Linked DNA regions of Saccharomyces cerevisiae S288C. Changing the gene in region 1 together with any one later gene gives a genetic interaction. Each region holds a gene or a part of one and is shown on either strand. Other genes may lie near its edges.

Region 1 (5,945 bases):
CGATAGGTGTGTCCTTGGTAAAGGCGGGTCTTTTTAGAGCTTGTTCCTCTTGTTCCTTTTGTAAAGCACGAGCCCTTGGATGTTCTTCGGCAACACCTAAACCCGCAAACAAATCTGCAGCATTGTTTAAGTCAGACTCCATTTCAGCCTTTTTGATTAATTCTTTACGTGTCTTTTCATCCAATGTGTCAATATCCAATAGGGCTCTGTCAGCGGAGGATTCTTTCCCTTTTTTAACCTTTTTTGGTTGTTCTTTTTTTGGCTTTGGGGCAGGCTTCTTTTCTTCCTCTTCTGCATCCCATGATTGCATGACAGGTTCGTCATCACCAATTTCAGCATCCCATGAGTCCATCAAAACGGCGTCATCATTACCCATAGAACCATTGATAGCTTCGTCGTCCCAAGACATTTTTATTACTTTTTTTTTTTTGAGGTGGTGGTTAGGATAGAATAGTTACAAGGAACTCAAAAGATAGTAAGATAATTTAAAGCGAGAGTTCAAGAATGGTGGGAGCAGTCAGTTCTCAATTCTTTAATGTAGTACTTCTGACTTAGCTAGCATGAAAAAAAAATTCGGAAAATGCCCAAAAACAGGTGTGTTCGTCTAATATGATACAGGGACGACCATAATATCAAGATTAGTGACATTTGATGTATAGTTTAGCAGAATGACTGTTATAAATAAATAATTATATATGTGTGTATATTAAATTTTGTTGAACCAGCGCTTATTTACAATTTTTAGGACGTGACCAAATGCGAGCTGCACTAGTTTTCTCAATTTCGCTCGCCCATGGTGATATCTTTAAAGATCTTTAAATGGGAACATCAAAACTGAGGATTTCTCGCCTCTTCGAGTTTTTGGATAACAAATGCCATGCCCATTCTGCTTTTCTTAACGTTTTCGTCAAATTTAGTGCGCGACCAATCCTCTACCTTAGATTTGATACCCATATTGAAGCCACTTGAAAACTTCACCCGGCTGTCTGCTATCGTACTACTTGTAGCACTGTCAAATTGATAGGTAGTATATTCTTCAACCTTCATGATTCCAGTGTGATCCAGATTCCTAGTGTAAGTTTTCATTGTGGAGTTAGCGGGGTTCACTACGGAAACTTCGATTATCCATGTTTCTGTTATACCTCTTAAAAAGGGTTTGACCCATGTGGGCAGCTTTCCGGACTTTTTCAACAGCCTCGTTGTGCGCAAATTTCCTTCTTGATCAACGTTCCTTGATATTGTGTCTATGGATAGTACATGGGGGGAGTATGGATTGGGGTATCTATTAAAAAAGGCGCGTGAAACAGAGGCAAAATCGGTAGGAAATATATGTGTGCTTTTGTGTAAAAGGACCATTGCAACTCTTAAGGATATCTTACCGCCGTCTCAGAAGCCAGACAATACTTATTGAATATGATTACTCATCCATCTGTCATATATATTTTTTTTTTCTAGCTTATTATCCAGGGAGAGCGAGAAATACTGCGGAGTTTTTCACCCGAAAGAAAAAAAATACGCAAGCACGATGATAACAATAGTTATATTATTGGTTACCTACAGTGTATAAAAAGAAAGAGTTTTATTAAAATGCAGAACTATGTGGTGGTATACAGAACTGATTATACATTCTATAACAAAAGGGCACCAACGGCGAATGCACCCGCACCATAAGCTATGTGAGTGCCGGCAAAGGCGCCATTGGTAGAATTGGACATTACGGACGCTACCTTACCGTTGACTGTAGACTTGTATGTAGTGGTCAGTGTCTCTACTGTAGAACCTGACGTAGTGGTATAAGTTGATTTGATAGTGCTTACTACCTTGGTGCTTGATTCCGGTTTTGATGAGGATCCCGAAGATGATTTACTTGATGAAGCCGTGTTGTCAGTTGTGGCTGAGGACGGTAGCCACCAAACAGTAGATGTGTAAGTCTCACCTAACGAATTCGTGGTAGTTACTATAGTAACTGGCCCGTCCGTTGATGTTGATGTCGTTGAGGAGGATGCGGAGTTGGTGATTCCGCTTGACGTCTCTCCGGTGGGCTGCACAGAGGCAGTTGAAGTTGTGCTTACGGCAGAGTTGCTTTCGGCCACCCACCATAGGTACTGTGTCGTGGTTTTGCCTTGTGCATCCGTCGTCACTACGGTGGTACTTGGAGCCACAGCATAGGTGTTGCTGACGACGTTGCTAGTTTGTACTAAGCTTTTTCCGGTAGAAACTACAGTTGATGCGCTTTCTTGGGCTTCCTTTGTCGTGGTAGGTGTGATCTCTTGAGAGTTTGAGCTTTCCTTTTGTGAGCTATCTTCAGAGTTCTGGCCATCTAAGGAACCAGAGTCTTTTTGAGCAGCGGCTAGAGTAATTAAGGTGGTAAATAATATGGAACAGGCCTTCATTTTATATATATGTTGGGTTTGTTTATATTTTCACTAGATCGGTGAGTATCTAGTCCAGAAGAGTTGATCTTTCTTACATACTTATATATGCTCACTACCGCCTTCTGAGAAAGTAGGCGTTTTTCAGCTACCTCAGTCGCTAAAAATAAATGCGAGTTCTCAAGCCAACTTGGACTCCAAGGCGGTAATTATAGTGATTCTCTTTGTCTATTTTTGGATTTATTTTGGAGGCTGACACTCTAAAGCCAGCCATTGGATTAATTATTTTTTCACTTCGTCAATTGACTATGCGGAAAAACTAAATGTGGTCAAATTCTGTCGGCTATGTACACGAAAACTATATACGCCTCGTCCTTTCAGCCACTACAACATAACAACACCGACATTGCTACGCCTTTTAATGTCGTTACTATTGTCGGGATTCAAGCCACCGGTAATCGGCTTTGCTCTATAATTAAATAAATAGAAGTTCAAGAACCCGTCACCGGGCCCGAACTTCAAATCATCCAAGAACAATGTATTATCTTGCGAAGTCAACGCGTTAAAAACATCCATATTAGCGTTTTTGGCCAAAATACAAGCGTCATAAATCAATTCACACAATCTTGTTTTCAAAGCCTTAGTAGCTTTTGGATCAAACCTGTCTTTGAATTGGAAATCTGCATCGGTGGCATAATAATACAAGTACCCGATGCCTAGGTCCTTATATTTTGTGTTATTTAGGATTGTGAATGGCAATGAGTAAAATGAGAAGAAGTCTGTAATTTTTCCATCGGGCTGTTCGACTACATATGAGAAAATTACTTGTTTATCCAATGGTAACGATTCTTCACCAATGAAATTATGTTCGAATTCTTCTTTTGTGAAAATTTGAATTAGTTCGAACCTGGATTGATATCTTTTGAACAACTCAAAAACTTGGTCAATATCTTCCTTCTTTAATTTTCTCAATCCCGCTGTCTTTGTTTTGGCCGGTAACGCATTCTCAGCAATCATATCCTCCTCTGTGTGCCCATCTGGTAACCCTGTGAAATCTACTTCATAAAGTTTCTTCCAATTCAAGGGACGATGAGTATAACGACACGTACTCACAGGTGCTGGCAAAACAATACCTGCCGTGTACAATGCATGCCAGATGTCACATTTGTTCACTCGTCTCGTAATTTCTTTAATTAGAACAGGTGTTAATCTCTTCGATCTTAGCTGTTTGTGAACGCACAAGAAATTGATTTCTACACTAGGCACTTGTTTACCTCTAACACCAAGTGTTACTGGTATGGCTGAGATAAAGGCAACTAATTTCTGTGTTTCTTTAACGCGAACACCAATATGCCAATCCTTCTTCCAACCTGGACTCTTTAAAGCCCAATTGAAGAATTCTTTGGTATAGTTAAATCTGAAGCCTGCATCGCGGTCTTCCACGTAGTTTTCATTTAGTAGAACGAAAACATCTTCAAGCTGTTTTTTGTTGTCCACATCAATACTACACCATTCGAAGCTAGACAATAAAGGTAGTGGCTTGTCAGATATATCTTCCGGTGTCTTTGGCTTATCAATGGGGCCTTCTTCCACCACCTTTTCATCGAAATCTTTGACCGGTTGCGTTCTCCAGAATTTGTGGTCTTTCATAGCTTTTTTCTGTTCTTGAGTGAATTTTGAAGTATCGTCATTATTCAACTGTAATAACTTCAATAAATTCTCTAATTTTTTCGCTTTATCCTCTTCTGACATTCTATAAATACGTTTACTACCGAAGCTCTATGACAACCAGAGCTATTGTACAGATCATTCTCTAAAAAGCGTGCAACACATATCATCTTCAATTATAGTGAATTACTTTTATCATGAGCAACGGCTGAAATTATTTTATCCTATTGTTTTATGACAGTATCCTTTCAAAAGAGTCGAAAGGATCCTCTGTTGCAAGAACTACTATTACGTAATTATACATAGTCCGCCTGCAATTTCTAGTGAGACTTTGCTTTGCTTTCCACTTTGCGATTAATATTGAGAATTTTAAACGTTAACTGAATTCTTACCCACCCATAATAAGAACTCTAACTGGCGAATTTATCATGAAACAAATCTGCAAGAATAAAAAATTAGAGAATCGTGCAATTCAATTTAATTGCCTTGTCCGTTGTAAAACTTTTCCATAGGCCCTACCTTGAGTTGATCATATGTATTATTCTATATATATTATATCCAGTCGGGTAATAAATTTTCTCGCCCTCGAAAAAAAGAAGTGAAAAATTTGTCTCGATGAGCTGAGATGAGTTTGAAAGAAGCAAAGAGTTTTAATTTGTAAACGATAGCAAGTGTACCCTCAGTTGAGTCTATTACGCCTTCCTTATTTGGAAACTTAGAAGACGAATAAAAAAAACAAAATAACTAATGATTTCTGCTACTAATTGGGTTCCAAGAGGGTTTTCCTCGGAATTTCCTGAAAAGTATGTTCTGGATGATGAGGAAGTGGAAAGAATTAACCAATTAGCACAGTTGAATTTGGATGATGCTAAAGCTACTTTGGAAGAAGCAGAAGGCGAATCAGGTGTTGAAGATGACGCCGCAACAGGTAGTTCTAATAAGTTGAAGGATCAGTTGGATATAGATGATGATTTGAAAGAATATAACCTGGAAGAATATGACGATGAGGAAATTGCAGATAATGAGGGTGGTAAAGACGTTTCCATGTTCCCGGGTTTAAGTAATGATAGCGATGTTAAATTCCATGAGGGTGAAAAAGGTGAAGATCCATATATTTCATTGCCTAATCAAGAGGATAGTCAAGAGGAGAAGCAGGAGTTACAAGTTTACCCATCCGATAATTTAGTTCTTGCTGCGAGAACAGAAGATGACGTTTCGTATTTGGATATCTACGTTTACGATGACGGTGCTGGGTTCCACAGTAGCGATATTCCCGTTGAAGAAGGTGATGAAGCTGACCCAGATGTTGCTCGTGGATTGGTTCGTGACCCTGCACTTTACGTTCACCATGATTTAATGTTGCCTGCTTTTCCACTATGTGTTGAGTGGCTTGACTACAAGGTTGGATCCAATTCCGAAGAAGCAGCCAATTATGCTGCCATTGGTACGTTTGATCCACAAATTGAAATTTGGAACTTGGACTGTGTTGACAAGGCCTTTCCCGATATGATTCTGGGTGAACCTCTTGATAATTCAATGGTGTCTTTGAAAAGCAAAAAGAAGAAGAAGAAGTCTAAGACTGGACACATTACTACTCATCATACCGATGCTGTTTTATCCATGGCACACAACAAATATTTCCGTTCCGTTTTAGCATCCACCTCTGCAGATCATACCGTAAAACTATGGGATTTGAACTCAGGTAACGCAGCCCGCTCCTTAGCTTCCATTCATTCAAACAAAAATGTTTCATCATCTGAATGGCACATGTTGAATGGTTCCATTCTTTTGACCGGTGGTTATGATTCTCGAGTAGCTTTAACAGATGTTAGAATTTCTGACGAAAGTCAAATGAGTAAATACTGGTCTGCCATGGCAGGTGAGGAAATAGAAACTGTTACATTT
Region 2 (4,341 bases), on another chromosome or scaffold:
ACTGATATATTTCGATTAGTCACAGGCGATTGAAGCGGCATTGTTACGACGGCCGTTGATGCGCAAACACCTTTAGGATTAATCCAAGTGTTACCACCTCTCCCACGCCCAGAAACCTGAATAGTACCCACGTGAAGTAAAGTGCTTTCAGGGATCGAACTTAATAAGGATTTATTATTATTCAATATGGTACTCGTTGATGTAACAACTTCACCATATAGAAGTAAAGAACCTATGGTGTTTTGAACATTCAGATACTTGAAGTATTCTTTCATGTCAAAATTGGGCGTATATTGAAATGGTGGAATATCTTCATCTACGCCAGGAAATATTACGGTCTTAGGAACCTCATCTGGCTCTTTATGAAGCAAGGACGAACTTGCTGCATCGTAAGAGGCTCTATAGCCTCTATAAAATTGGAAAGAGTCAGTTTCGGCGTTTAATTCTGAGCAGAGTTCAACATTATTTGCATGCATTCCATGATGAGCTAAGTTGTTTTCCATTTCTTGCAAGTAATTCCGCTTATTAGGTGCACTAGCCATAAACAGTGGTGTCAAATTTGGAGCTCTTACATAATTGAAGTCATTATTACAATTCAACCCAGTTTTGGTAAGAACCGTTCTCATAAATTTCAACCTCATGATTTCCTGTGCTTTCAGGTTTTCCACAACGGTTTCAAGAAAATGCTTATCTGTGGATTTCCTCATAAAACGGACGTTGAATTCAGGGTGTGGTCCAGTGAGTAAAACCTTTCCTCTTCCGACCGTACATAGCACTACAGCAGCTGGGTTTTCACTTTGACCTTTTCCTGAGTCAGAAGAAGGCACATCCGGGTGTTCTGCGTACGTGGCCAAGATCTCGACATTATCAAATTTATCTGCATCAACAAAAACGGCTCCTCCATTGAAATAAGTTGAGAACTGTGAGCCATCTGGAAGATTCAATTTAACTGCACGTGCACCGGCCTCGCTGTTATACTGAAATCCATTGTACGCAGGTCCTCTGCTTGTTCCCGGAAAGAATCGCAAATCCCTGCTTCCTGATACTTCCATTGTAGGGTCACCTTGAGCAAATTCTACACGGCTGGTGCCAAAGTAACCTCCTGCACAAAATCCGATAAAGACACCACCTTGTTTGCTAACAAAATGTTTCAATCGAGAAATAATGGGTTGACAAGCTTGAACGTAAGGAAGATCGGCACCACCAGGAAAAACTACAGCGGAGGTCTTTGACATCCATGGTTCTGTCTGTAATACCTTAACATTGACAGTACTGACGGCGTAATAGGGTTCCAAAAAGTCACGTAAACTTTCAACAGCATGCTTAACTGATCCTGGCGTAGTCCCTGGGCCATTATAGACTAATACATTCATATTAGTTGAAATTGGATAATATTGATAAGATCGTTCTAATATCTTCTTTATTGGAACTCTGAACCTGTAACAACCAGTAAAAACCTTGCACTTTTGTATACCAAACAACTTTTGAGAACAATATATTACAGCAAAAGAAAAACTGACGAAGGGAGAAGGAAAGTAAAATATACTTATATGTGCGTTTACCCAACGTTTGGCAAACAATTACAGGAAGAAAAAGCCAAGTCCGTAGCTCTGGGATCTCTTACATGAAACCATATTAAATGTCAACCAACACTTCACAGTCATGTCTTCGAATCATTGTGCGGCGACTATTTCCGAAACTGGAGTGTGAAAAAGCTCGATTCATGAAGCCATCCTCTTAATCGGGAGTATACAATATTTACAATTGAAAAAATATAGAAAGGAGGCAATTGAGAAACAAGCAGGCCTGGTAGCATAGTTTGGTCCCTAATAATTTAGTCAATGATTCAAATGGTGCCCATTTATTCATGCTCCGCATTACTTCGGAGAACTATACCGAAAAGGCCATTCTATCATGTGTTATCAGGGTTAACTGTACGCTTTAAGGTAAACCCGCAATTAAATTACAATCTTTTCAGAGATCTCACTAGGAGGGAATATGCTACCAATCCGAGTAAAACTCCTCATATAAAGAGCAAGTTGCTCAATATTCCCAACATTTTGACTTTATCACGAATAGGATGTACACCCTTTATCGGACTCTTCATTATAACGAATAATTTGACCCCAGCATTAGGTTTGTTTGCATTTTCCAGCATCACTGATTTTATGGATGGGTATATAGCAAGAAAATACGGCCTGAAAACCATTGCAGGAACCATATTAGATCCACTTGCAGATAAACTACTCATGATCACAACAACTTTGGCATTATCTGTACCATCCGGCCCTCAGATTATACCGGTATCTATTGCGGCGATAATTCTGGGTAGAGATGTGCTACTAGCCATAAGTGCTTTGTTTATACGATATAGCACTTTAAAGTTGAAATATCCTGGTCGTGTGGCATGGAATTCCTATTGGGATATTGTTCGCTATCCCAGCGCTGAGGTCAGACCTTCCCAACTATCAAAATGGAACACGTTTTTCCAAATGGTATATCTTGGATCTGGAGTATTATTACTTTTATATGAGAAAGAAGAGGGCTGTGAAAAAACCGAGGAGGATTTCGAAGATAGAAAACAGGACTTTCAAAAGGCCTTTAGCTATTTAGGGTATGTAACCGCCACGACCACAATAATGAGCGGAGTATCCTACGCATTAAAGAGAAACGCTTTTAAACTTTTAAAATAGTATAATTGCGATCCTTTTTGAAAAGGGTCCTGACTTTTCATTTTGAATGTTTTTTAGTTTTTATGTAGTGGAAAATACACTAAATCAACATATATATGTATATATGCATAAACATATGGATACTGGGAAACCCATGTTAACGGCTGAATGCAATATCATCAATACGTAAGATGGATTTAACACATTCAGACGCTAAGGTAATTGCACTTGTACTAACAAGTACGGGTTGTAAGATGTGTTCTTCATAGGTGTTCGTAGTACCAGATCGTCTAACAGAGATACCGTCATTCAATTCACCATTTTCATGCTTAGAGCGCAATTCTGTGACAACTTTGATACTATTCAAACCTGCGTTTTCAGCCAAAGTCGTTGGAATAACTTCCAAAGCAGAGGCAAATTCTTGCCAAATAAAAGCCTGTACACCTTCCATAGACCTTGCTTCCTTACTCAACCTACGGGATATTTCAATTTCTGGAGCACCACCACCAGCGATTAAACCTCTCTCTTTCACTAGACAACGAATAACACATAGTGCATCATGGAGGGAACGCTCTGTTTCATCAATGATCATGTTGTTTGCACCACGAATAACAACAGAGACGGTTGGTCTTGCATTATTGTTTCTTATACCAGTTACTCTAACTATCTTGGAACCATCGCTATCGATCTCCTCAACTAAATCAGCGGAACCCAATCTATCTTCGGTGAACAATTCTATATCAGCAATTGGCTTACAACCCAAGCCCTTCGACAGAAACTCGATTTCTTCTCTCTCGATATCCTTTACCACCATTATGTTCAATTTTGACAAGAAATGAAGAGCCAAATCATTTACCGCATCTCTCAAGATGGATTTCTGAATCAACAGCACGTTACACTTGGCCTTTTTAATTTTTTTACAGATATTTAGCAAATACGCTCTTTCTTCTTTAAGGATCTTATCCATTTGTCTATAGTCATTAACGATGATATTATTTTCTGTGTCGGGCTTTGGAGGAGATATTTGGAATTGAATTAACCCAATCTTTGCTTTTTCCTTTCTTGTCGGACCACCAGCAGATTTGATTGCCGTTTGTGTCAAGACCACACCATCTATCATTTCTGTGTCATCAATGGTACCACCAACTTTTTTGACCAGTCTGATATCGTTCAGGTCAACATTCTTAGAGTTTTCATCAGATATCTTCAATACGGAGTCCACTGCCAAGGGCGCCAAAAACGAAGAGTATTGAGACACAATCTTGGAACTCAAAGAAGTGGATGCAGCACGAACCAGCTGTTCTCTATCGCTCAACGAAACCTTATGGCACATTTCTAAAAGAATATCGACAGATCTCTTCGCAGCACTTTGAAAGGAGTCCGCAATGATGGTTGGATGGATGCCCTTGTTTAACAGCCTCTCAGCAGCACCCAATAGAGCTCCGGTCAAGATCACCACAGAAGTGGTACCATCACCGGCTTCCGAGTCCTGCGCGGCAGAAACCTCTACTAGCATTCTGGCCACCGGATGCAGAATGGCCATCTGTTTTAGAATGGTGTGGCCATCATTAGAGATGATGATTTCTCCACGAGATGTCTTAATCATCTTGTCCATACCCTTGGGACCCAATGAAGTACGGATGGCATCTGCAACAGAACGTGCAGCGAT
Region 3 (5,630 bases), on another chromosome or scaffold:
TTTCTTCGACAGAAGTAGAGATATCTTGAGTGTTTCCTTCAAAAGTCATATCTACTCTGGAGTATCTTGTGAACCTCCGCACCGGATAAATTCTGTAAAGTAATGACCATCCCTGATTTCTTATCATTTTCTACTTTTGATCACGTCTCTATCTAATGACGGTTTCATGCACCCTCTGACTGTTGTAATTTACGTATTATTATTCTGTTTAATTTATGCTATTTATGTAAATGAGTTCGGCCATGTCGGAGGAGAAAGATATCTTTTTTCAAATTTGAGTATCTGATTCGGGCTTATAATACATGCCCACGACATCGCTCGATCATATATTCCAACTCTTCAAGCTCCCTCTTCATTTTATTCTTCACGTTGAACGGTTCAAAGAGCCCCAGAAAATAGGTGCTGAGATCCAGACACTCCTTGTACTTACATTGGTAAAATAAACGATGGCAGAAACCACTAAGCACCTGTCGCTGATGCTTATTGGAGATATCGTACTTGCCTTCCCGGATCTCAACCAAGGGATCTACCTCATCCATCCATCCTACCTTTGTCCGCACAGGGCCTTGTTCTACTTCGAAGTAGTGCTGCAATTGCTGTGTATACTCTTCTTCCGTTTGACCTTTACGTATTTTAGTTTTCCCGGTGGATTTTCTAACAATTACTTCACCTGTTCTACCATCTAACGAGATTGGCTTAGTCACTGATTGATCCTTCTCTCCGTGGGCTTTCCTAAAACCTGTACTATAGTTTTTTTCCACCATTTTTGGTGCTTCTTCTCTATCAGATGCTTCTTTCATAAAAATTATTATCTTTCTTAGCTGTTATTCATCTTACATTTTTTTTTCAATTACGGCGAGGCGATGACTTCAATCGTTGCTGTCAAGATTGAATTGACAATTACAGTCGATGTTGAATATTAACTTATATATGACAGATCATTACAGCTAGTCTAGTTCGACAAGATTAGTAAGATTAGGAGTTATTTTTAACTGCTTATTATGCAAGTTGTGTAGGCCACAGGCGCAACTGAAAAACATAATTTCAGATTAGGCAGTTACTGGAAAGATCGCGTTCTTGTATTGTCTAAATAGAAGCAGTTGTTTTAATAATGCTTACAATTGAACTATGAACCAAAGCAATAATTTATGAGAAACTAAAATGGGATGCATCAGATCTTTGCACTCAATTGAGTTTAAAACTGTACAGGTACTAATATTATATTAACGCTGCTTCTATAACACTTGTTTTGACATGACGATAAGTGTAGTGTATTCAAATGCCGTATGTCACTTGAACACACAGGGAACTGCACTCTGCACTTCGGAACAAGATTGAAAGTTACTGTGTTATTAACCTTTGCCAACAAGCGAAAACAACCAGGTGTTTCTGCGGTTTACAAAATCTTTAAGGGATTGAGGTTAGTTGGCTCAAAGAGAAGAAGTTCCCAGTCGATGTATCAAGCAGAGCTAAGAGAAAAAGTGCCGCGAAAGGGTTTGATTGGTCAAGTTGGCTTGTTCATCAGGAACTAAATTAATCAAGGTGTGATTCTATCTGTCAACCCCCCCCCTTGATACTTCCTGTACTTAGAATCAATTTATTAAATACAAATTTAGAATCTGTGATTCGTAAATCTTAAGTGTTTAAATACTAAGTGTGTATTAAAGGCTTTACTTCAAGCAACGAAAAATAAATAACCCCGAATATATGAGGGGCAATAATACCTTTTCACTCATTTGATGAAAAAGAAAAGATGTTTGATGTTATAGAAAATACCTTATACCATATCTTCTACCTACTCATCAATATCAAACCCTCACAGAATAGAGATAAAGAACATCAGAACCATCTGGGCAATGTCATTTTTAAAGTTCGCTTATAGAAACTCTTGGCGATACTATAGCAAGTCCACACGGCATTTTCATAAAATACCTATAAGACAGTTCATAATACCTACGTCAATTGCTTTTTATTTGACACAAAATTCGTTTCCAAAACAAAATTGTTTGATATACAATGATTCTCTAAAACCGGATCCCAAAGGTGATACTTTTGAAATGGGCCTCTACGTTTCCTCAGAAAACGAATTGCAGGAAAAGCTTAAATCTTTCAGGTCTGCTAAGATCACTGAATCACGAAATAAATTAATAAGATATCTAAGAATCTTTTGGTTCGGTTTTAATGATAATATTGTTGAGCCTGTATGCACGATTTTAAGGTTTTTAGAAATTTCAGCTATTTTTTTACCTCTTCTCCTATTATACCCCATATCATGGTTTGGTCATAAACTCAAAATTACGGACACCAATATAACTGAAACTCGAGGTTCATTGATTTGGTGTCAACTACTGCGTAAAGCATTGGAATTGGCTGGCCCGAGTTTCATTAAACTCGGACAATGGGCAGGATCGAGAACCGATATATTCTCTCACGCACTGTGTCATGAGTTGGGTAAATTGCATAGTAACGTTACAGCTCACTCTCTAAGCTTTACTCTGGAAAAACTTTCTCAAGCATTAAAGGTTGACAAGATCGAAGATGCTTTTGATGAATTTAATCGAACACCAATTGGAGTTGGGTCCATCGCACAAGTTTACGTGGGTGAACTATCCCAAAAGTACATCGATAAATATGACAATATACAAATTGGTAAGGATGGAAATCGTTGGTGTGCCATCAAGATCTTGCATCCAAATGTAAGATCTCAGATCCGGAGAGATTTGAAAATAATGAAATTCTGTGCTGACGCAATAAATTGGATTCCGACTATGGAATGGCTGTCTTTACCCAGCGAAGTCGATCAGTTTTCCATATTAATGAATATTCAGTTGGATCTAAGAATTGAGGCGTTAAACCTGGAAAGATTCAATGAGAACTTTAAAAATTCTATTCAGGTGAAATTTCCTAAACCATTTCTCCCCTTGTCAAATAGGGATGTTATGTTCGAAGAGCATGTATATGGTCTTTCCATGGAAAAGTTTTTATCTACGAAGAAGCAAATTAACGACGTTGAACTTTGTAAAAAAGTCAGTGATCCCTTCGTTGACGCGTTTCTACAAATGCTAATTCTTGATGATTTTGTTCATGCTGATTTGCATCCAGGCAATGTTATAATCAGATTTGTGAAGACGAACAAATACGGCACAAACATTATATCCTCCGAACTTGAATCGTACAGAATAACGCACGACCTGAGGAAGAAGATAGAGGAGGACCAAGATCAGGACTTTGTTGGAAAACTGAAGTCTGTATTAACTAATTACACTCCCCAAATTTGTTTTATCGATACAGGAATAATTACAGAATTGAATGAAAAAAACAGAATTAATTTCATAGCTCTATTCAACGCATTGGCCCGATTTGATGGTTATAGAGCTGGTGAGTTGATGATTGAGAGATCAAGAACTCCAGAAACAGCTATTGATAAGGAAGTATTTGCGTTTAAGGTAGAAAAGCTAGTGGATAAAGTTAAACAAAGAACATTTACATTGGGAACCGTCTCAATTGGCGATTTACTCGATCAAATGCTTAGTATGGTAAGGTCGCACCATGTTAGAATGGAGTCCGACTTTGTTTCCGTGGTGGTCGCTATTTTACTTCTAGAGGGTATTGGACGCCAGTTAGATCCAAACTTGGACTTATTTGAAAGGTTCGTATTTTACGCATGGATTAACGGTTTTAAAGAATAACATCAATTTTTTAAAACCCTTTTCTATTGCTTTTTTTTGCTTTTTATTGCTACTAAAGAAATTCTTTTACTAACAAAAATACCCACATCTTGTAACTTCTCTTCGTAAACAGTTCGCTGCCTATATTACGTGAATTCGGGTTTAAGCGGGAAGCCAAAAGTCTCTTGAAAGATGCAAGCACATTATCAATGCTCAAGATATGGGTTGGTTTAGAAGTGCGTCAATTAATGCATCTCTCGATGAAGCAAATATACGATCTTGTCAGGACTGATCAATTGTGTCCTAATTATTAATATTCTTTCTTTTTATGCATCTTTTATAATTGCGACTTCCACGTGTTCGCAGGTGGAGCAATGTTACACACGCTGTCCCAACATATTAGCTCTCCAAAAAAACGACCAAGTTTATTTAAGTGACAAATAATAATTTGCTGTTGCTCTAGCTGAAATTTAGACCAGTGCTGTCATTATCGACTCGTAGTGTTCTTTTAATAGTAAATTTCGTCAAAACGTTTCTAATTCACTTAATAGCGCCAACTGAATAAGAGAATTATTTTTAGAACGTGCACATTATATTAAAAAGAGAGCGTTGGCTGACAGAAGTAAAAAATAAATTATTGTCTTACAAAGTGAGACTATTAAAGAGTTTAAGTTTTGCAATTAGTGCTTCATTGAACAATAAGGCAACGGTAGCAAAAAATTTAAACCCAACTAAGAAGGGAACCCTCATCAAATTACACAAAAATAGCCACTATCTCCAACTAAGGTGACAAACTACTGAAACTGTAAGGTCTTTATATAATCAAACAATATAATCAATGAAGTTCGGAAAAACCTTTGCCAATCATCGCATTCCAGAGTGGTCAAGTCAATATGTTGGCTACAAGTCGTTGAAGAAAATGATTAAAGAAATTACAAGACTTCAAGAAGACATATATAGGGCACATAACAAGAATAGCTATGATGAAGGCAGGCCACCAACAAAAATGAGAGATTCATCTAATAGTGCTCAAAATTATTTGGACTCTCCAAAAATCCAAAAGTTATTGGCGTCGTTTTTCTTTGCAGTTGACAGGGATATTGAGAAGGTTGATACATTTTACAATTCCCAGTATGCGGAATATAAGAAAAGATTTGAGAGATTGCTTTCTTCTAATCAATTCAATGAGATAAAATCAACATTAGTGGTCGATGCCAACAAAGAAGATGCAGTAGCGCAAACCTTACTCACAAAGGATACGAGAGAGATGAATATGCTTTTAAAGGGAACAAGTCAAGCCAGCCGTCTATCTTACCATAAAGATGACTTAATTGAAATTCAGTCTATCTTAGCTGAGTTAAGAAAACAATTTAGAAACTTAAAGTGGTACGCTGAACTAAATAAGAGAGCTTTTGGTAAGATTTTAAAGAAACTGGATAAAAAAGTCGGCACAAATCAGCAAATGTCAACTATGAAAACTAGAATCTTGCCGTTACAATTTGCTAATGATTCTCTTATTACCAAAGATTTGAGTTTGCTAAAAACTATCTGGGAACAAGTGACGTTCAGGATAAATTCTTACGAGAGAGTAATGAGGAGTACCTCGCCGAACGCAAATGCTAATGATAATACAGAATTCTTTAAGATTATTTGCGTTTTTATAGAAGAAGATGATAGCAAAGGATTGATTAGAGAGCTAACAAACCTATATTCGGAATTGTCTTTGATTCCAACAAGAATTATGATAAGTGTTTTAAACAAGGCAGCACTGTCTAAATCACTGGCATGTATTGATGCTATCTTAAAGGTTATTCCGTCTCTAAATGACTCGGAAGATATTAACAGAAGAAATTTTTTCCATCATCACATAATTGCAATCGGGAAGTTAATCAGAAAACAGGAAATTTTAAGTAGGAAAAAGAAGTCACAACCCTCAAAATATACTAATAGTGAGGGAGAAAT

The links. A genetic interaction does not mean that the proteins touch.
Region 2: mutations in UPS1 (region 1) and CRD1 together harm fitness more than expected from each alone (negative genetic interaction), as found in Saccharomyces cerevisiae (4 studies listed by BioGRID, with this or other methods).
Region 3: mutations in UPS1 (region 1) and CQD1 together harm fitness more than expected from each alone (negative genetic interaction), as found in Saccharomyces cerevisiae (4 studies listed by BioGRID, with this or other methods).

The regions. Positions count from the first base shown.
Region 1 is NC_001144.5:539,181-545,125, forward strand, and holds UPS1 (Ups1p), read right to left. Parts: upstream 1,357-5,945; coding exon 829-1,356; downstream 1-828. Other genes in the region: HCR1 (translation initiation factor eIF3 core subunit j), read right to left, coding at 1-409; NCW2 (Ncw2p), read right to left, coding at 1,629-2,393; glycylpeptide N-tetradecanoyltransferase NMT1, read right to left, coding at 2,757-4,124; rRNA-processing protein PWP1, read left to right, coding at 4,788-5,945. UniProt on the Saccharomyces cerevisiae protein: Required for maintenance of normal mitochondrial morphology. Required for PCP1-dependent processing of MGM1.
Region 2 is NC_001136.10:200,071-204,411, reverse strand, and holds CRD1 (cardiolipin synthase), read left to right. Parts: upstream 1-1,841; coding exon 1,842-2,693; downstream 2,694-4,341. Other genes in the region: biotin--[acetyl-CoA-carboxylase] ligase BPL1, read right to left, coding at 1-1,373; chaperonin-containing T-complex subunit CCT4, read right to left, coding at 2,830-4,341. UniProt on the Saccharomyces cerevisiae protein: Catalyzes the synthesis of cardiolipin (CL) (diphosphatidylglycerol) by specifically transferring a phosphatidyl group from CDP-diacylglycerol to phosphatidylglycerol (PG).
Region 3 is NC_001148.4:343,616-349,245, reverse strand, and holds CQD1 (Cqd1p), read left to right. Parts: upstream 1-1,856; coding exon 1,857-3,649; intron 3,650-3,801; coding exon 3,802-3,982; downstream 3,983-5,630. Other genes in the region: DPC25 (Dpc25p), read right to left, coding at 1-127; YPL108W (uncharacterized protein), read right to left, coding at 294-800; GDE1 (glycerophosphocholine phosphodiesterase), read left to right, coding at 4,507-5,630.